2 linked regions of the Callithrix jacchus genome follow. The protein of the gene in region 2 purifies or fractionates together with the protein of the main gene of each other region. This does not show direct contact. Links are inferred from orthologs where the notes say so. Each region holds a gene or a part of one and is shown on either strand. Other genes may lie near its edges.

Region 1 (9,153 bases), on a different chromosome or scaffold from region 2:
CTACCAAAGTCTTACTCCCAGGCCTGTTAAGTAATGCAGGTCGAGCCAGGTGAGGTGGCTCACGCCTGTAATCCCAGCACTTTGGGAGGCTGAGGCGGGTGGATCACAAGGTCAGGAGTTGGAGATCAGCCTGACCAACATGGTGAAACTCCTTCTCTATTAAAAAATACAAAAAAACTTAGCTAGGCATGGTGGCACATGACTTTAATCCCAGATACTCAGGAGGCTGAGGCAGGAGGATTGCTTGAAACCGAGAGGTGGAGGTTGCAGTGAGCTGAGATCATGCCACTGCATTCCAGCCTGAGCAACAGAGTGAGACTCTGTCTCCAAAAAAAAAAATTGCAGGTGGGGAGAAGGTGGAAAAAAAAATTTTATTTAGACAGTGTAGCTCTGTTGCCCAGGCTGGAGTGCAGTGGCAAGATCACAGCTCAGTGAAGCCTCAAACTGCTGGGCTCAAGTGATCCTCCCACCTCAGCCTCCTGAGTAGCTGGGTAAGTGCACTCTGCTCTACCATGTGTTTTTTTGTTTGTTTGTTTGGTTTTTTTTTTTTTGTAGAGATAGGGTGTCACTATGTTGTTCAGGCTGGTCTTGAATTCCTGGCCTCAGGTGATCCTCACCCCTCAGCCTCCCAAAGTATTGGGATTACCAGCAGGAGCCACTACACCTGGCCAGGTGAGATCGAATCTTACTCTTTTTACTTTTTATGTTTTTTTTTGAGACAGGATCTTGCCCTATTGCTCATGCTGGGCTCAAGTGATCCAGCTGCCTCAGCCTTCTGAGTAGCTGGGACTACAAGTACTTGCCACCAAACCCAGCTATTTTTTTTCCTTCCTTTAGTAGAAATGGAGTCTTGCTGGTCTTGAAATCCTGGGCTCAAGTGATCCTCCTGCCTTGGCCTCCCAAAATGCTGGGATTACAGTTGTGAGCCACTGTGCCCAGCCCAGTGAGATGCAGTTTTAAATATGGTGGCTTGGATGGCCTGGAGCAGAGAACTGAGGCCATCTGACTTGGGTTTAAAAGCTGCCAGCTCCAACTGTCCAGCTCTGGGGCCACGGCGCCAGACAGCGGTGGTGGTTACAGGACCGTTGGTGTTTACCAAAACTGAGACCTGTCCATGCAGCAGAGGGGAAGTTCACAGTACGTAAATGATGCCTTAATAAGCCTGAGTTAAAAAAACAAGCAACTACACAAATAAGGAGTAAAACAGTAAAGAGAAGGACATGCAAGGCAGGACTGGATTCTGACCCAGGATAAAGAGAAATTGCGGGATGGCAGCTGTGCAGTCAGCCCAGACAGAGCCAGCCAGACGGAGGACAGAGGGCAAGGGAGATGGTTTAGAATGTTACCATCATATGATAATGATAACTAAGCCATGGGAAAACAAGGCAATTTTTAACCTTAGGGGAAAATCTCTCAGAAATGAATGGAATCTAACAGAAGCATCATGAGAGGAAGAGGAAGGGAGACAGAGCTAAATTGGGGCTAGGTTTGAGTTATATGGGGCTGGGTGTGGTGGCTCACACCTGTCATCCCAGGACTTTAGGAAGCCCACACAAGAAGATCATTTGAGCCCAGGAGTTCAGAACCAGCCTCGGCAACATAGTGAGACCCCTCTCTACAAAAAACACAAAATTAGCCAGGTGTGGTGGCATGTGCCTGTGGTCCCAGTTACTCAGGAGACTGAGGTGGGAGGATTGCCTGAGCCCAGAGGGTCAAGGCTGCAGTGAGCCATGACTGTGCCAGCCTAGGTGACAAGAGCCAGACCCTGTGTCCAAAAAAAGAATTTTTTAAAAAGTAAAAGATCTAAATTGCCAACTGTTCATCAATAATTAACGTTTAAAAAATATTAAGAAAGGAAGAAAGAAAGGAATGAGTAAAACAGAGGGAGAGAACAAAGTGTCATCTTCATAAGCTCGAGACCAGTGCCACTGTCACTACTGGCAGAGCTCCCCAGATTCTGCAAAATGAAACTGTTCCTCCTTATGGAGTAATAGGGACTGAATATGTACTGCCACATGAAAGAACCCCCAAACCAGACCAAATATATGGAACACAATAAACTGGCTGTGGGGCAGTGAGGGACAGTGACAGGTGGGAGCTGGGAAACACTTGAGGTAAGCCACGTGACTGGCCCAGTGCCCTGTGTGGAGTTTCCTGGTGGAGCCAGGCAGATACCCGGACTTTATGAGTTGAAACTCTGAATCAGAGAGTCCCAGTAGCTGGAGTTTGCAGGATGGGGAGCTAGAGAGAAGAGAGCTGCACAGGGAAAAAACCCTGGATATCCACGGAGAGTCCTCCTCTGGTGTCAGCAGACCACCAGTGAGCACAGGCATGTGAGGAAGCTACCCAAGGCCAGGGAAAGACATCACCCCAGCAGGAAAGGAAGAAAGGTGACTCCAGTATGCAAGCAGGACAGGGACTAGCAGCTGTCCCCACCCACCAGGATACAGAAGCTCATATTCACCTGGGCAGCATTGGCCAGGGTGCCCTGAATGGTGTTTGTTGCCTCCATAGCCGGGAAACTGAAGTCTACCATAAGAGCTGCTCCAGTCCCATGCAGCACATCTTCAGAGAAAGACTAAAAAGGATCAAACCGTTTCCATGTTTTCTGAGGATACGCAGTTGTACCTCTTTATTTCCACTCTCAGAAAATCCAATTGAATCTACAAAAGAGTCCTAAGACTGAGTTTAGTGTATTTACAGGGAGCCAACTCCTTCCCCAAACACTAGTCAGTTGACCCAGCACTTTCTTCACTGTTAGAGGAAAGAAGCTCATGTTAGATTTAAAATTCAGGAAAAAAAATTAACGCTAAACTTGCAAAAATTATATGCTGTATATTACAGTTACACGTTTATTACTATTAACTTCAGGGGAAAACAACTGTAATAAATGTAACTATAAGGAAGGATTCCAAAATGTTGACAGTAGTTGATGCTGAATGAGAGCCCAGCTGATTTTCATTTTCTTCCATTTCCTAAATTGTCTTCAATTTCCTTGAATATCTGGATTCTAGAACCTCCCCTGTAACCGAAGCACAATGACTAGAATATTGGGAGGTGCTGTAGCTGAAATAAACTCAGACTTGGAACAGTAGCTCAGTTTTATTTTCTGTGGTAACAAACATTTAAGAACCAGATCAAACAAGGGGCCCCTGAGCACCCACGGGCCAGTACAGGCCGACCATGAGGCTTTCACAGGAAAATAGCAACTGTGGGAACTCCTGCCCTAGGGAAAGCTGGGTGCCCTACCTAGGGAGACGCAATATTAGACCTCACCCCATTTTCCCAGGCCAGGCTTAGCGGGGAACGGGGGGCCCAAAGCGCTGCATGGTCCGCAGCACCAGGGAAAGCTGGTCGAGAAAGTTGATGACGGAAATTCGGAGCAGGCGACAGTCTTCAGCTTTCCAGCGGCTAAAAGTGAGGGATAAAGAAAATAAAATTGGAGGTGACAACTCCTGGTCCGTCACTCTGCCGCTCAGGCACCCATTACAGCAAAGCCTCGGGAGCCCATGAGACAGCCCCTCAGGTGGAGACCGGCCCGGCGCACCTGGCGCTCCTTAGGGTTCATCCATGGGTGCCCCCTACGTCTCCATCGGTTGCCTCCCCCAACTCCAGCCCCTTTCAGAACTTACACGGTCAGGATCCTGCCGCTCACTGTGAGATCCTTCCCAATCACCCTTTGGTGGGGCTCGGCATCTGGAGCCAGGGACCCATGCGCGATTTCCGCCTCCAAGGGGGTCGGGAAAGGCACACTAAGGGTGCTGGGGGGGCATTCGGTTAAGGTGCCATCTGATACGACTTTGCCTATGTCTCAGGCCTTCTTGATCCTCTGAAGCCCCCCCTCAGGTCACCCTACCTAGAGTCATTCGCTTTACTCCTCACGTGGCCCAGGCCACCGCTGGCAGGGCTTCTCTCCTTCCATTTCTATTTCTTCCCCTCCTCCGAGCACCCCTGCTCGTCTACCCCGGTCGCCGCCCGCCCTCCTTTCTTCCTCCCCGAATCCAGCCCTCGCCCCGGCGCAGGCAGCCGCCAGTCTGTTCCCGACCTCCCCTTGGAAAGAATACAATATGTGCGGCCGTATTCCTGAACCCCTGGCCGCAGATGCGGCGTCTCTGCCAGGACCTGGCGGGTGCGGTGGGGAAGGTTCGTCAGCCGGAGCTCCCGCTGTGTCCGTGCCCCTGGGGCAGCTGTGGCCACCCTGGCCATCCCTGCCAATTGTGCCTGCGCCAGCGTGTGCATTCGCGCACCGCATGACCTCCGCCGCCACGCAGCTCGGACTCCACCCCCGAGGCGCAGGCCCCCACGCCCCGCCCTCTCTCCCGGTCCCTTTCCCGAATCCCCGCCCCCTGCGCCCGACTCCGCCCACACGCGCCGGCACTCGTTCTTGGGAAGCCTGCCTGGCGCGTGGTCAGTTCCCGCCAAGCGGCCCTGCCGGGTGCCTTCTGAGACCGAGTCAGCGGTTAAGAGGCCGCGGTCTCCTCCAGAAACTCTGTCCCTTCGCGCGTAACTCGATCCCAGGCCGTCAGTGCAAAGTGACCCACAGTCAGTCAGGCCCCAGGAAGCCAGCCCTGACGGGGTTTTGAAGACCCCGTGGTCGCCTAGCCCAGAGGCGCACCCTGCAAGGCTCCGCCCCTAACTGCGCCTTGTGACCGCAGCGCGCCTGCGCCGTCTAGGGCCTGTGGCCTCGGCCGGGCAGGCCCTAGTGAGGCCCTAGTGAGGCCCGAGGGTGTCTGGGCGCTTCCCGCCCTGTTTCTTACCGGTACCCAATATCCCCCGGAGATGTGGCACTAACGTGCATGCAGCGACTCGCGGAGGGACGGTGGCGGGGTCTGATACCCCCCCACAAGGATACTGCTCTTGCCCACGACCCCATGGTCCAACCGAGGGGGCTTCACAGTGGACGGTAAAGAGTCGGATTTACATTTTAGAGGAGGCATTTTAGAGCGGGGTGGGGGCGCTGTGCGGAGCGGGAGCCTGTCAGCAGAACGCCTGCACTGAGGCGAAATATGACGGCCTTGAACGCAAGTATTGGCGCTGTGCCTAGGTCTCATATAACGTGGAAAATCAGACTGCACAACTATGAGTATGAAAATGCCACTTTAGGCCGGGCGCGGTGGCTCACGCCTGTAATGCCAGCACTTTGTGAGGCGGAGGTGGGGGAATCACCTCAGGTCGGTAGTTCGAGACCAGCCTGGCCAACATGGAGAAATCCCGTCTCTACAAAAAAAAAAGAAAGAAAATGCCACTTTAGGGCAGGCTAAGTGGCTCCCGCCTGTAATCCCAGCACTTTGGAAGGCCAAGGGAGGAGGATCACTTAAGCCCAGGAGTTCAAGACCAACATGGGCAACATAGTGAGACCACATCTCTACAACAAATACAAAAGTAACTTTTCTTTTCTTTCTTTTCTTTTTTTTTTTTTAGAAACGGGGTCTCACTATGTTGTCCAGACTGGAGTGCAGTAGCTATCCACAGGTGCAATACTACTGATCAGCACTGGATTTGACCTGCTCCATTTCCAACCTGGGCCGGTTCACCCCTCCTTAGGCGACCTGGTGGTTCCCCGTTCCCGGGAGGTCACCCTATTTATGCTCAACTTAGTGCGGACACCCGATCAGCATAGTGCACTACAGCCCAGAACTCCTGGGCTCAAGCGATCCTTCAGCCTCAGCCTCCCGAGTAGCTGGGACTACAGGCACGCAACACCGCACCTGGCCAAAAATAAATTTTAAAAATTAGCTGGGCATGGTGGAGCATGCCTGTAGTCCCATCTACTTGGGGGACTGAAGAGGGTGGATTGCTTGAGCCAGGATTTCGACAACAGCCTGGGCAACATAGTGAAACCATGTCTCCAGAAAAAAATGCGTACCTGTGGTCCCGGCTACTAGGGAGGCTGAGATAGGAGGATAGCCTGAGCCCGGGACGCAGAGGCTGCAGTTAGCCGTGATCAACCCACTGCACTCCAGCCTGGTTGATAGAGCGAGACCCCGCCTCAAAAAATAAAAAGAAAAGAAAAGGCCAAGTTAGTCTCTTACTGTACACATGTAGAGAAATCCTAGAGCATACAGCAACATGTAAATCCTCATGATCTCTGCATAATAGGATAGGGGTGATTTTAATTTACTTTTAGTTTTACCTCCAATTTTTCCAAAGTGGGTTTTTATGACATTTACAGTAAAAAAAAAAAAAGAAGTATTGGCTGGGCGCGGTGGCTCATGTCTATAATCCCAGCACTTTGGGAGGCCAAGGCGGGTGGATCATGAGGTCAAGAGATCCAGACTATCCTAGTCAACATGGTGAAACCCCATCTCTACTAAAAATACAAAAATTAGCTGGGCATGTGGTGCACGCCTACTTGGAAAGCTGAGGCAGGAGAATTCCTTGAACCCAGGAAGCAGAGGTTGCGGTGAGCCGAGATCACGCCATTGCACTCCAGCCTGGGTAATAAGAGCGAAAACTCCGTCTCAAAAAAAAAAAAAGTATTGGCCAGGTGCGGTGGCTCACACCTATAATCCGAGCACTTTGGGAGTCTGAGGCGGGCTAATCACGAGGTCAAGAGATCCAGACCATCCTGGCCAACATAGTGAAACCTCATCTCTACCAAAAATACAAAAAAAAAAAAAATAGCTGGGTATGGTGGTGTGTACCTGTAGTCCCAGCTACTCAGGAGGCTTAGGCAGGAGAATCTCTTGAGCCTGGGAGGTGGAGGTTGCAGTGAGCTGAGATTGTACCACTGCACTCCAGCCTGGGCAACAGAGTGAGACTCTGTCTCGAAAAAAAAAAAAAACATTGCATGGGATCACATCTCTGGTTAAAACCCTAGAATGATTTCCTTTTGCACTTGGAATAAAGTCCTGCTATATCTTATAAAAGTCCCAGCTCCTTCTCCTGCGTCTGGGACCTTCTCTCTGCTTCCGACCAAGGGCAGCCTGACCCCAGACCTTTGCACTTACTCTTCTATTTGTAAGACTGTCCCCAAACTTTCCCATGGCTAGCTCCTCCTCATTATTAGGACCTTGGCTCCAGTGTCACCTCCAAGAGGCCTTCAGGATAACCAGTATAACTCAGCACCCCCAGGCATTCTTCATCACATTTGCCCATTTCAATTTGCTATAGAGTATTTCTTTCCTCCCTCTCCTCCCTCTTTCCTTCTTTCTTTTCTCTCTTTCTCACTTCTTTTTCCTTCTTCTTTTTTTTTGATGGAGTCTCGCTCTGTTGCCCGGCTGGAGTGCAGTGGTGTGATTTGGCTCACTGCAACCTCTGCCTCCCGCGTTCAAGCGATTCTCCTGCGTCAGCCTCCCAAGTAGCTGGGACTACAGTTGTGTGCCACCACACCAAGCTAATTTTTGTATTTTTAGTAGAGATGGGGTTTCACCATGTTGGCCAGGATGGTCTCGATCTCTTGACCTTGTGATCCGCCCGCCTCTGGTCTAGATCTCTTGACCTTGTGATCCTCCCGCCTGAGCCTCCCAAAGTGCTGGGATTAAGGTGTGAGCCACCACGCCCAGCCTTCGGCCTTATTATTATTATTATTTTTGAGACAGAGACTTGCTCTGTTGCCCAGGCTGGAGTGCAGTGGCACAGTCTCATTCACTACAACTTCCACTTCCTGAACTCAAGCAATTATCTTGCCTCAGCCTCCCAAGTAGCTGGGACTACAGGTGTGGTACAGCTGTGTGCCACCATGCCCAGCTAATTGTAATTTTTTTGTCCCCAACCCCTAATTTTTGTGTTTTTGGTAGAGGTGGGGTTTCACTATGTTGCCTGTGCTGGTCTCCAACTCCTGGGCCCAAGTGATCGCCCACCTCACCTCCCAAAGCGCTGGGATTACAGGCATGAGCTACCGCTCCTGGCCATATAGTATTTGGAATAATCTGTTCATCGAATCTCCTGTACCGTTGTTTTCCTTCAGTGCCATATCCCTAATGCTTAGGATGGTACAGTATGTACCGTAGGTAGTTTGTTGCTTCTTGAATGAAACAGACTAATTTTTTTTGAGACAGTTTTGCTCTTGTCACCCAGGCTGCAGTGAAGTGGTGCAATCTTGGCTCACTGCAACCTCTGCCTCCCGGGTTCAAGCGATTCTCCTGCCTCAGCCTCACAAGTAGCTGGAATTACAGGCATGCACCACCACGCCTAGCTAATTTTGTATTTTTTAGTAGAGACGGGCTTCACCATGTTTGTCAGGCTGGTCTCGAACTCCTGACTTCAGGTGATCTGCCCACCTTGGCCTCCCAAAGTGCTGGGATTAGGGCCTGAGCCACTGTACCTGGCCTTTTGTTTTTGTTTTTGAGAGACAGGGTCTCACTCTGTAACCCAGGCTGGAGTGCAGTGGCATAATCGTGGTTTGCTGCAACCTCGACCTCCCTGGGCTCAGGTGACCCTCTCACCTCAGCCTCCTGGGTAGGTGGAACTACAGGCGTGCACCACCATACCTGGCTGATTTTTGTATTTTTTGTAGGGACTGGGATCTCTCTATGTTGCCCAGGCCGCTGTCAAACTCCTGGGCTCAAGCTATCTGCCCACTGTGGCCTCCCATTGCATCTGGCCACCTATATTTTTTTTGAGACGGTTTTGCTCTTGTCACCCAGGCTGGAGTGCGATGGCGTGATCTCAGCTCACTGCAACCTCTGTCTCCCAGGTTCAAGCAATTCTCCTGCCTCAGCCCCCCAAGTCGCTGAGATTACAGGCATGCATCACCACGCCTGACTAATTTTGTATTTTTAGTAGAGACAGGGTTTCTCCGTGTTGATCAGACTGGTCTTGAAGTCCCGATCTCAGGTGATCCGCCCACCTCGGCCTCCTAAAGTGCTGGGATTACAGGTGTGAGCCACCGCACCCGGCCTTCTGTTGTTGTTGTTGAGACGGGGTCTTACTATGTTTCCCAGGCTATTCTGGAACTCCTGGCCTCAAGCAAGCCTCCCACCTCAGCCTTCCAAAGAGGGTGGGTGACAGGTGTGAGGCACCATGCCCAGCCGTCTATATTTACATTGTTCAAAAGTCAAAACTATGTTAAAAAATATATAATATATATAAATTTATAAATATATATATAAATGTATATATTTATACATTTATATATAAAATTTATAATATATATACATTTATATATATTATATATATATATATGTGGTAGAACTCCTGATCACCAGGTCA
Region 2 (10,093 bases):
GAGCTATTCTCTCTTTCACCTATGAAATTTCTGTTCTTAACCTCACTCTTTGTGGGTCCACATCCTTGACCTCTGACCATGAAACAAGGAACCTCCGGTGTTACCCCAGACAAGGCTGCTCCTCCATCACTCTTCCTGCCTCGGTGGCTGCCTGGTCGTGTGCCAAGCAGCTGGAACATGCTCGCCAAGGCTTCTACCCTGGCTAATGTTTTCACTGGTCCAGCTGGTCTGTTACCTTCTCACTTCCATGTTTCCTGCTTCCACTCTTGCCCTCTAGGTTTTCTGCCAGCAACCAATGAAACCTTGTTACAGGGCCCTTCAGGATCTGGCAATGCAACCTTGTTACAGGGCCCTTCAGTATCTGGCTCTACCTCTCCCATCTCAGGTTCTGCTCCTTGCTCACTGATGCTGGCCACATCCACCTTGCTGTCAGGGATGTTCCTTCTTCACCAACTTTATACGCCACAGCCTGCCTGGGATATGCTCCCTTCATCTCCTGTTTCTGGTTTTCCTTCACATCTTCACTCATCACTGTCTGAAACTGTCTTATGTTCCCCAGGAAAGTAAGCTTCATGTTCCCCTCTATTATAGTAATCTCCAGTGCCTGGCACATAGTGAGTACTTATTTGTCCATTCTCACACTGCTAATAAAGTCATATCCGAGGCTGGGTAATTTATAAAGGAGAAATTTAATTACTCACAGTTCAGCATGGCTGGGGATGCTCAGGAAACTTACAATCATGGCCAAAGGGGAGCCAAAAACGTCCTTAATATGGCAGCAGGAAGAAGTACTGAACAAGAGAAAAGCCCCTTATAAAACCATCAGCTCCTGTGAGAACTCACTCACTATCATGAGAACTCACTCACTATCACGAGAACAGCCCCCAAGATCAAATTACCTCCCACTGGGTCCCTCCTGCAACGTGAGGATCACAGAAACTACAATTCAAGAAGAGATTTGGGTGGGGACACAGCCAAACCATATCAACTAGGGATTTGTTGATTTAATGCACAAAAGCACAAAGCAGGTACTAGCCTTATGGTACATGTGAGGAAACTGAGGAATGAGCCATCTCAGTCAATGTTGGGAATATTAATTAAAAACTCGTCAGCTCCTGTGGCCCTTGGAGTTCCTAGAAAATAATGTTATATGCCAATACTTATTACAGTACTATAAAGAGACACCATATCCCGTATCTCATTTGACAGTGGAAAGAATACTGATTCAGAGCCAGGTAAAAGTGCCCCTTGCTACCTGTGATGTCTTGGACAAGTTCCCGCCTTTTGGGATCAGTTTCTCCATCTATAAAATGGGGATAATGCCTAATTTAAGAGTTATTTTAGATCCAGTGTAAAAATTCCTAGCCCAATGCCTGACATGCTGTAAGCAGGCAATAGTAGTTTTCCTCTCTACTAGTCACAACTACCCAGGAAGAGAAGTTTTCTCTCATTCCTGGCCATCCACTCCATGTTGGGCACTTGGGGCGTGCTGACAGTGATGAATGAAACAGACATGGTACTGGTCCTACTATTATAGAATGTTTGCTTCACGTGAACAGGCACTGACTGTATCATCTCTGAACACAATGGAATGAAGGTAGGAATGAGTAACAAAAGAAAAACTGGAATATTCGTAAGTGTGCGGAAATATAGATTTCTAAACAATCAAGGGGTCAAAGAAGAAATCACAAGAGAAATTAGAAAATACATTGAGATGAATGAAAACAAAAGCACAAAATACCAAAACTGATAGCGTGTGATGAAAGCAGTGTGCAGAGGGAAACGCACAGCTGTAAATGTCCATATTGAGAGACGAGACAGTAACTATGTGAGGTGATGGGTGTTAATTAGCTCATTACTGTAGTAATCATTTCATAATGTATATCAAAACATCATACAGTATACTTTACATTTTTTTATAAAAATAAATTTTCTTACAAAAGAACAGGCACGCTGTGTCTGCCTAGCTCACCACTGTACCCCATCCCCATTACGGTGCCAAGGAACACAGAAAGCACTCAAAATACGTTTGTTGAATGGAGTTTACAAGGAAGAAAGGTATTTTATACCTCCTTTCCCTCCCCACCCACACATGGCTTCTTCTGGGGAAAGAAATTGAGGCTGGGCAAGGTTAAAAGCTAGCTCCTAGTACTTCTAAATCCACACTCGGTTCACCTGTGCCTTAAACCAGACTTCATCAAACTTCAGTCTTCACAAGTCACTTTACCATTTTGGCTCTACCTACTTACTGCCTGTGATAGAAATTAACTCAGTTTGCCTGCCTGTATGAACTTAAAAGGAACTTTATATATCACTTGTCTTACTTAGAAGGTAACCACAGAAATACGGAGCAATAAAAATAAAAACAATGTTAACATGCATCTCAGGTGCCCGAAAGTTTTAAGTCTGTTTTTTTTGAGAGAAATTGGAGTTAAGCAGTTTTCATTTTTTGATCATGACCCTGAAAAAGAAATATATTTGACATCAAAACTCAGAACATCCTTGTCTCTATCTACATGTGAAAGTTTCGTAAAACAATACGCTGATATTCTGTAATTCTACTTCATTTTTAAAAATTCTAGTTGTATTCCCATTAAACTGGTTTCAAGACAAATATATCATGTGCAACAAAAAAACACTAGGTTATGGGGCTGATAAAGACATACTATCAGCAACTGAGACTTCATCCTTGTCTCACAGGGACTAAAAAGAGAATAAAGTTCTCATGCGGTTCAATGCTACACCCATGTACCTGAGATGTACAAGCCACAACCTGGGAGAAAGCCTGCCCTAGATTTACTTTAAATACCCAGTTCTGCCTAGAACATGTCTTAAGACACATAGAAAGCTCCAGTAGTGCAGATGATAATGACACACCAGGGATGATCACACACCACTTAAAAATATCTTAACACCTTTACTTAGATCGCCTCTCTTACTTGCCGCATTTCTTCAAATGTACTTTGAAAAAACAGCTTCACTGCGTCTGGCTGTCAGACACATTCTTCTACCCAACCATGGACCTCTTTCTTCCTCTCAGGCGTACCTCATCTAATTTTTTTAGCACTGGCCTGGCCTTTTTGGAGGAGGTGGAGTAGCTCTTCAGAAAGGCTTCAAACACAGTTTCAGTGTTGGGATGGGTACTGAGGAAGGCCTTCTCCAGGACGTAGAGGTCTACTCCCTTATCCTCTGGAAGTGCTGAAATGAAACTCAGCCCAAAGTCTATCAGCACGATATTCAGCTGTTCGAGGGGTGGTTTCAGGAGCATGTTGGAGGTGGTGAGATCACCATGAATGAGGTCTTCATCGTGCATTTGAGCCAAAACCTGCCCAATTGCCTTGGCTAAGTTGGAGAGGCTCTGGGGAGTTTTTTCAGTCTCCATAGTGGACTGAATATAATCTCGAACAGTCACCGAGCCTTCAATTTCTTCCATATATAAGCAGTTGGAAGCATAGTCCACAAAAAAGACAACTGGGGCAGATATTCCTGAAATCAAGACATAAGTGGTTATTGCACTGGATTTTCTTTTTTAATGGTAAACTTAATTTTCAAAGATTAAGCCAGTTTTTCCAACTATATCTACTTATTTCAGGATGATTTAGGAATGCTGCAGGAAATGGCACAACTTAACTCATCTGGAATATTCCCCTGCTCACGCCCACTGCAGGACTATGCCTGGGACCACCCCACAGCTAAGCTGAGGAGGCAAAAGCTTCCTCCTCCCTTCCAAACCACCCTTTCTCACTGAACTTCATTTATCACACTCTCTCCCTGAAAAAAAAAAAAAAACAAAGGCCAGGTGCAGTGGCTCATACCTGTAATCCCAGCACTTTGGGAGGCTGAGGCAGGCGGATCACTTGAGGTCAGAAGTTCGAGACCAGCCTGGCCAACATGGTCAAACCCCATCTCTACTAAAAATACAAAAATACAAGTAGCTCGTACTACCAGCTACTTGGGAGGGTGAGGCAGGAGAATAGCTTGAACCCAGGGGGTAGAAGTTGCAGTGAGCCGAGATCACGCAACTACACCACTCCAGCCTTGGTAACAGAGCGAAACACTGTCTCAAAAACAAAAAACGAAAATAAAGAGCAAGGCACAGCCCAATCAGGGCAGGTTCTACTGATGAGGTCACAAACAGGAGGCCAAGCAGTGGGCTGACTTTGAGGTTCATCTTCAGAGAGGACAGGGTTCAAATCCCATCTCCTTTTCTTATTAGTTCTCTAATCTTAAAGTTACATTAACTTCTCTAAGCTTCAGTTTCTGCTGCTATAACATAGGAACAACAGCTCCAATAAACTCAATGAATCTTTACCGAAGGTCAACCAGGCTCAGTATACTTTTCTAGAAACTTAGAGATAAATCAATGGGGATACAGCAATAAACGAGGCAGTTATAATACAATTCCTGCTTAACATAACATATCATAAGAGGTGGAAAACAGAAATACGAACACACAAATAACTTCATGAAATCTTGTCTTTACAAGGGCGGCATGTGTCTGCTTGTTGGCTAATGAATTTCTGGGCTCCCCTCCCCCAGATCTCCCAGCACTTAACAATGTTCTGGTGCCCACCGCTGTCTAAAAAATATTGATAAAAGAAAGAAAGGCAAGAAGTGTAAAAGTGAAAAGCCAGTGCTTCTGAGTCAGGGGCATACGGATCTGAGGGCCTGGACCAGCCACTTAGTAGCTGTGTAACCTTGGGCAAGTTACTTCTCTCTTGAGTGCCAATTTCTCATCTGAGGACAAGGTTTATTGTGCTGGCGCACAATGATGTTTAATGAAAAAATAAATAGGCAATTTAATGAAGTCCAACATTTATTGAGCACTACGTGCCAGGCACACATTTGAACATAATACGTGGCACATATACCTTCTCTAATGGTCACAACATCCCTACGACATGGATACTGCTACTATGTCTCCCATTTCACAGGTGAGAAAACTGAGGGTGAGAGGCTAAATAACTTGTTGAAAGGCTACATAAGCAGCAGCAGAGTTAGTATATCAACCCAAAGAGCCTGGCTCCAGATTTAATTACATCTGTTTCTTAAGACTAATAAGTAAACAGATAATGATTGAAAATTGAAACGAGTCAAATAGGGAAACCAAGGCTCAGGGAAGTTAAACATGTTCAACGCTGAGCAATAATGACAGAGCCCAGATCTGAACCAGGCAGAACGGCCCAGGACAAACGCTTGACCCTGCACGGCCACGTGGTTTCTTAAGACTTAATGACGAAAGGTATGAAAGAATAACATTTCCGAAAGGCAGGCCACGGCAGAAGGCACATAAGGAGAGACTAAGGCAAATCAAGGCTAGGAGAGCAGAAGAGTACCTCACTCGTCCAAGCCCCAGAGCCTCGGGGCCACCCACGCCGGGATCCCGGCCCACCTTACCCGCGCGGCGGCAGCGGAGGAGGGCCCGGGCCTCCTGCACAGTCCGTCGCCTGCCAAGCCGCGCCTCCAGCGCCGGGTGCCGGTAACCCTTGGGGAAGCGGTGCTTCACCACCGCCGCGCGACCCTGGAAGCGGCCGCGGAATACGCGCGCCTCAGCGCCCTGCTTCACCAGCTCCAGGCCGCTCAAGAAGCTGCTGCTCCGCTCGCGGGCCGCGGCCAGAGCCTCAGCCTCCGGCGCTGGTTCCTCGCCACCGTCCGACACAGCAGCTCTGGATGCCGCCATGACTGTGGTCCGCGAAACAGTTCCGATCGATCAGCGGTCCCTGAAAACGATCGCGATGCTTCGGCTCGCTTCGGAAATCCTCGGACTTCTGCTACCCGAACGCGTCTACCCCGGAAACTTCCGGCCTGTGAGTGGCTACGCCTCCCAACTTTTAGGCTCTTTCTGAAGCCTTGGGTTCCCTGCAGGAAGGGCTCTTGTGGCCCCGCCTTCCACCTCTTCCGTTATCTCCGTAGCGTTCGGCAACTCTCGGAAAGCGGCCCTTCCCCACTCCTCGGCTCTCTCCGGAAATCTTCGGTGACTCTCGCAGCCGGCTTTGGGGCCCACCTCCAAACTGGTTGTCTCTTTCCGGAAAACTTCGGCGCCTGTCGAGAAAAACGTCGGACGCTCTCTGCTCTTTTCAGGAGTCTTCCTGGACAGCTGCACCCGCTAGTAGTTTGTTTTTGGAACTCCTCTTCCCCTGACTCCTAAATTTTCCCCAGAATGTAGTCAAACTAGTCAGAGTCGCGCGGGTCAAGACAATGAACCCATGTTTCCGACATCGTCTTAAGTGTTAGGTTAACCACCATTTAGTGCATTCAGAAGAAATAAGGATAAATGATGAAAACCCTTCCTACGGAAAAGAAAATGGAGACTCAGAGAGGGCAATGGGGGTGGTAGGATGGGGCAGGGAGTGGGGGCTGGGGAATCCCGGAAAATTTTCCGGAGACAGAACATAAACTGAATTGGGAGTAATTAAGCTTTTTCAGTTTCTACCTGTTTCATTATAAAGCTAATACAGGCCGTAGCAAATTCTTACAATACAGAACTTTGCACACACACACATGCATCAAAACCTGCCTATCGCCCTTGCAATGTGACGCCGCTGGCCGTTAGTTTCTTTCCAGGCTTTTCTTTTATTCAATGCGCACACTCACACATGGTTGTGGCGTTTTTTCCAATATGAACGACATCATACTGTGGGTTCTTTTGCAACTTGCTTTTCATTCTCCTAGACAATTTATCTCGGACTATATTCTATTTCAGTGCATGCAGAGCTACCACGTCCTTCTACCTGTTGCGAAACAGTTGTTTCCAGTTTGTTGTTTTTCAGGAAAACATTTTACTATTACCAGTTTCTTATAAAAGATAGTATAAGAGATAAAAATGAACAGCCAAATGAAGAGATACAGGGGTAAAATTTAAAATGGTAGGCATTTATCGTAAATAACATGTTTTGAAATATGTATACATTGTGGAATGGCTAAATCCAGCTCGTTAATATTACCTCACATACTGATCATTTCGGGGCTGAGGACACTTAAAATCTATTAGCATTTTTTCAATATAACACAGTGTTATTATCTACAGTCACCATGTTCAATAGATATCATGAATGTATTCCTCTTGTCTAACTGAAAGTTTGTGAGTTCAGTTTTCTTACCTTCCTTATGTAAGTGAGACCATGAGATAATTTGTCTTTCTGTGCCTGGCTTATGTCCTCCAGTTCCCGTTCCAGTTCCATCCATGTTGCTGAAAATAACAACGCTTCTTTTTCTTTCTTTTTTTTAATTTTATGTGTGAGACCGAGTTTTGCTGTTGTTGCCCAGGCTGGAGTGCAATGGCACAATCTTGGCTTACCGTAACCTCTGCCTCCCGGGTTCAAGAGATTCTCCTGCCTCCTCAGCCTCCCGAGTAGCTGAGATTACAGGTGCATGCGCCACCACACCTGGCTAATTTTGTATTTTTAGTAGAGATGGGGTTTCTCCATGTTGGTCACCCTGATATCGAACTGCCGACTTCAGGTGATCCGCCCTCCTTTGCCTCCCAAAATGCTGGGATTATAGGCGTGAGCCACCGCGCCCAGCCTCGTTTCGTTACTTTTAAAGGCTGAATAGTATTCCATTGTGTATGTATGTACCACATTTTTTATCCGTTCATTCATTGATGGACACTTAGATTGAGTCTATGACTTGGCTATTGTGAATGATGCTGCAATTAACGTAGGAGTGCAGCTGTCTCTTCCATATACTGATTTTGTTTCCTTTGGTTATGTACCCAGTAGTGGGGTTGCTGAATTATAAGGTAGTTCTATTTTTAATTTTTTGAAGAACCTCCATACTGTTTTCCATAATGTCTGTACTAATTTACATTCCTGTCGACAGTGCAAGAGTTCCCTTTCCTCCACATCCCTGCCAACACTTTTTATCTTTCATATGTTTTATCATAGCCATTCTAACAGGTCTGAGGTGATATCTCATTGTGGGTTTAATTTGCATTTCTCTCATGATTAGTGATGTTAAGCATTTTAAAAAATATACTTGTCCATTTTTATGTCTTCTTTTGAGATCTTTTGGATCTTTTGCCCATTTTTAATTCAGGCTCTGTGCTTTCTTACTATTGGATTGAGTTCCTTATATATTTGGGTATTAGCCCATTATCAGATGTATGGTTTACAATTTTTTTTCCCATTCTGTAGCTAGTCTTTTCACTCTTTTCTTTTTATTGACTTTGCAGGAGCGTTTTAGTTTGATGCAATTCCATTTGTCTGTTTTCACTTTTGCTCCTTGTGTTTTGGGGGTCATATGCAAAAAGTCATTGCTCAGACCGATGCCATGGCATTTTGCCATTTTCTTATAATAGTTGTATAGTTCTGGATCTTACATTTAAGTTGAATCCATTTTGAGTTGATTTTTGGCATATGATCTAATTTCTTTCACATGAATATCCATTTGTCTTAACACCATTTATTGAAAAGACTGTCCTTTCTCCATTATGTGTTCTTGGCATGTTCAATGACAATCAATTGACTGTTAAGTGTGTGGATTTATTTCTGGGCTCTCTATTCTGTTCCATTGGTCTGTGTGTGGGCTTTTATGCCAGTGGCATGCTGTTTTGATTATGATCACTTTGTAGTATATTTTGAAGTCAGGTAGTATGATGCATCAGGCTTTGTTCTTTTTACTCAAGACTGCTTTGACTATATGGAGTCTATTATGATTCTTCATAAATTTTAGAATTTTTTTATTTCTACAAAAAAAGTCAATGGAATGTTGATAGGAATTACATGTAATCTGTAGGACATTTTAACAATGTTAATTCTCCAGTTTTGTTACTTTTTTTTTTTTTGGTCTCTTATAAACAGTGCTGCAGTGACCAGGGTTATTCAGCCATCTTTGTACACATGAATGAGTGTTTCTGAGGACATGTGATATTGCTGAGTTGTAGATGACAAGCATTTTGAAATTTGACACCTCAGCCAAATTACTCTCCCAAAGTTTTGTGCCTGTTTACACTTCAGCCAAACTCGTGCCTCATTTTCCCGTATCTTCAACTTCATTGAGTTCAGGTGCTGGAACGTTCAATCAGGGGATGAAGTGGGAGGGTGCTCAGGTTCCAGACAGCAAGAACAGACACAGGGTAGGGTTGCGTTTGACAAGGAGCAGCAGTTCCACATGGCTGGAGCAAGTTGGCACTGGGGACAGGCTGGGAGCTGAAAAAACACGGACAGTGATCTGGTCCCAAAGGATTATTCTTGCTGGAAGAGAGGTGCTGTGAGCCTGGGGTGACTGACCAACCATGGCCCTTTGAGGCCTTGACCTCTGGCAGTAGAATAAGCAGCTGGACTCTGAGTAGAATAGCCAAGCAGTAAAGGAGAGGGAGGCTTCTACTTTTCAGCCCTTTCTGAGCCTGAAAGAGAACCTATGGCCTCTTCCTCATTTCCACCCATCAGTACCAGATGCCCATTCATTCATTTATTCACTAATTCATTCAATAAATATTTACTGAGTGGCTACTATGGGCCAGGCACTATGCTAGACCCTGGGGACAGAGCTGTAAACAAAATAGAGAATAATTATTACTGCCTTCATGGAGTTTATATTCTAGTGGGTGGAAACCGACAATAGACAAGTAAGGAAAATGTGACGTTGGCAGAGCTAACAGGTAATATGGAGTGAAATCAAGCAGGGAAGGGGGATGGGAAGAATGAATGTATCTGGAGTGCCAGGGACCACTCCAGTTTTTGCCTGTTGCCCTGGCATAACTATTATTAGCACTGCCACCTTTTTTCTTTTCTTTTTTTTTTTTTTTTAATGAGATGGAGTCTCATTCCGTTGCCCAGACTGGAGTGCAATGGTACAATCTTGGCTCACTGCAACCTCCACCTCCCAGGTTCAAGTGATTCTTGTGCCTCAGCCTCCCAAGTAGCTGGGGCCACAGGCATGTGCCACCACTACACCCGACCAATTTTTGGGTATTTTTAGTGGAGATGGGATTTCACCATGTCAGCCAGGCTGATCTTGAACTCCTGACCTCAGGTGATCTGCTTGCCTCGGCCTCCCAAAATGTTAGGATTACAGGCATGAGCCACTGCACTCAACTTAGTATCCCCTTTTTACTCTCAAAAGCATTCTGGTTTGGACGATATAATATATG

The links. The genes of interacting proteins can lie anywhere in the genome.
Region 1: the proteins of TP53RK (region 2) and LAGE3 purify together in Homo sapiens (affinity purification with mass spectrometry; 5 studies listed by BioGRID and IntAct, with this or other methods). This does not show direct contact. The link is inferred for Callithrix jacchus from reciprocal best matches to the Homo sapiens genes TP53RK and LAGE3.

The regions. Positions count from the first base shown.
Region 1 is NC_133524.1:150,268,835-150,277,987, forward strand, and holds LAGE3 (EKC/KEOPS complex subunit LAGE3), read right to left. Parts: upstream 4,288-9,153; 5' UTR 4,253-4,287; coding exon 4,065-4,252; intron 3,762-4,064; coding exon 3,633-3,761; intron 3,412-3,632; coding exon 3,297-3,411; 3' UTR 3,277-3,296; exon of another isoform or gene 3,023-3,276; 3' UTR 2,830-3,022; downstream 1-2,829. UniProt on the Homo sapiens protein: Component of the EKC/KEOPS complex that is required for the formation of a threonylcarbamoyl group on adenosine at position 37 (t(6)A37) in tRNAs that read codons beginning with adenine.
Region 2 is NC_133506.1:41,907,637-41,917,729, forward strand, and holds the start of TP53RK (EKC/KEOPS complex subunit TP53RK), read right to left. Parts: upstream 5,681-10,093; coding exon 5,398-5,680; intron 3,487-5,397; coding exon 3,047-3,486; coding exon of another isoform or gene 3,008-3,046; exon of another isoform or gene 2,901-3,007; intron 2,462-2,900; coding exon of another isoform or gene 2,432-2,461; exon of another isoform or gene 1-2,431. Other genes in the region: uncharacterized protein LOC144582859, read left to right, coding at 5,679-5,807, 5,914-6,141.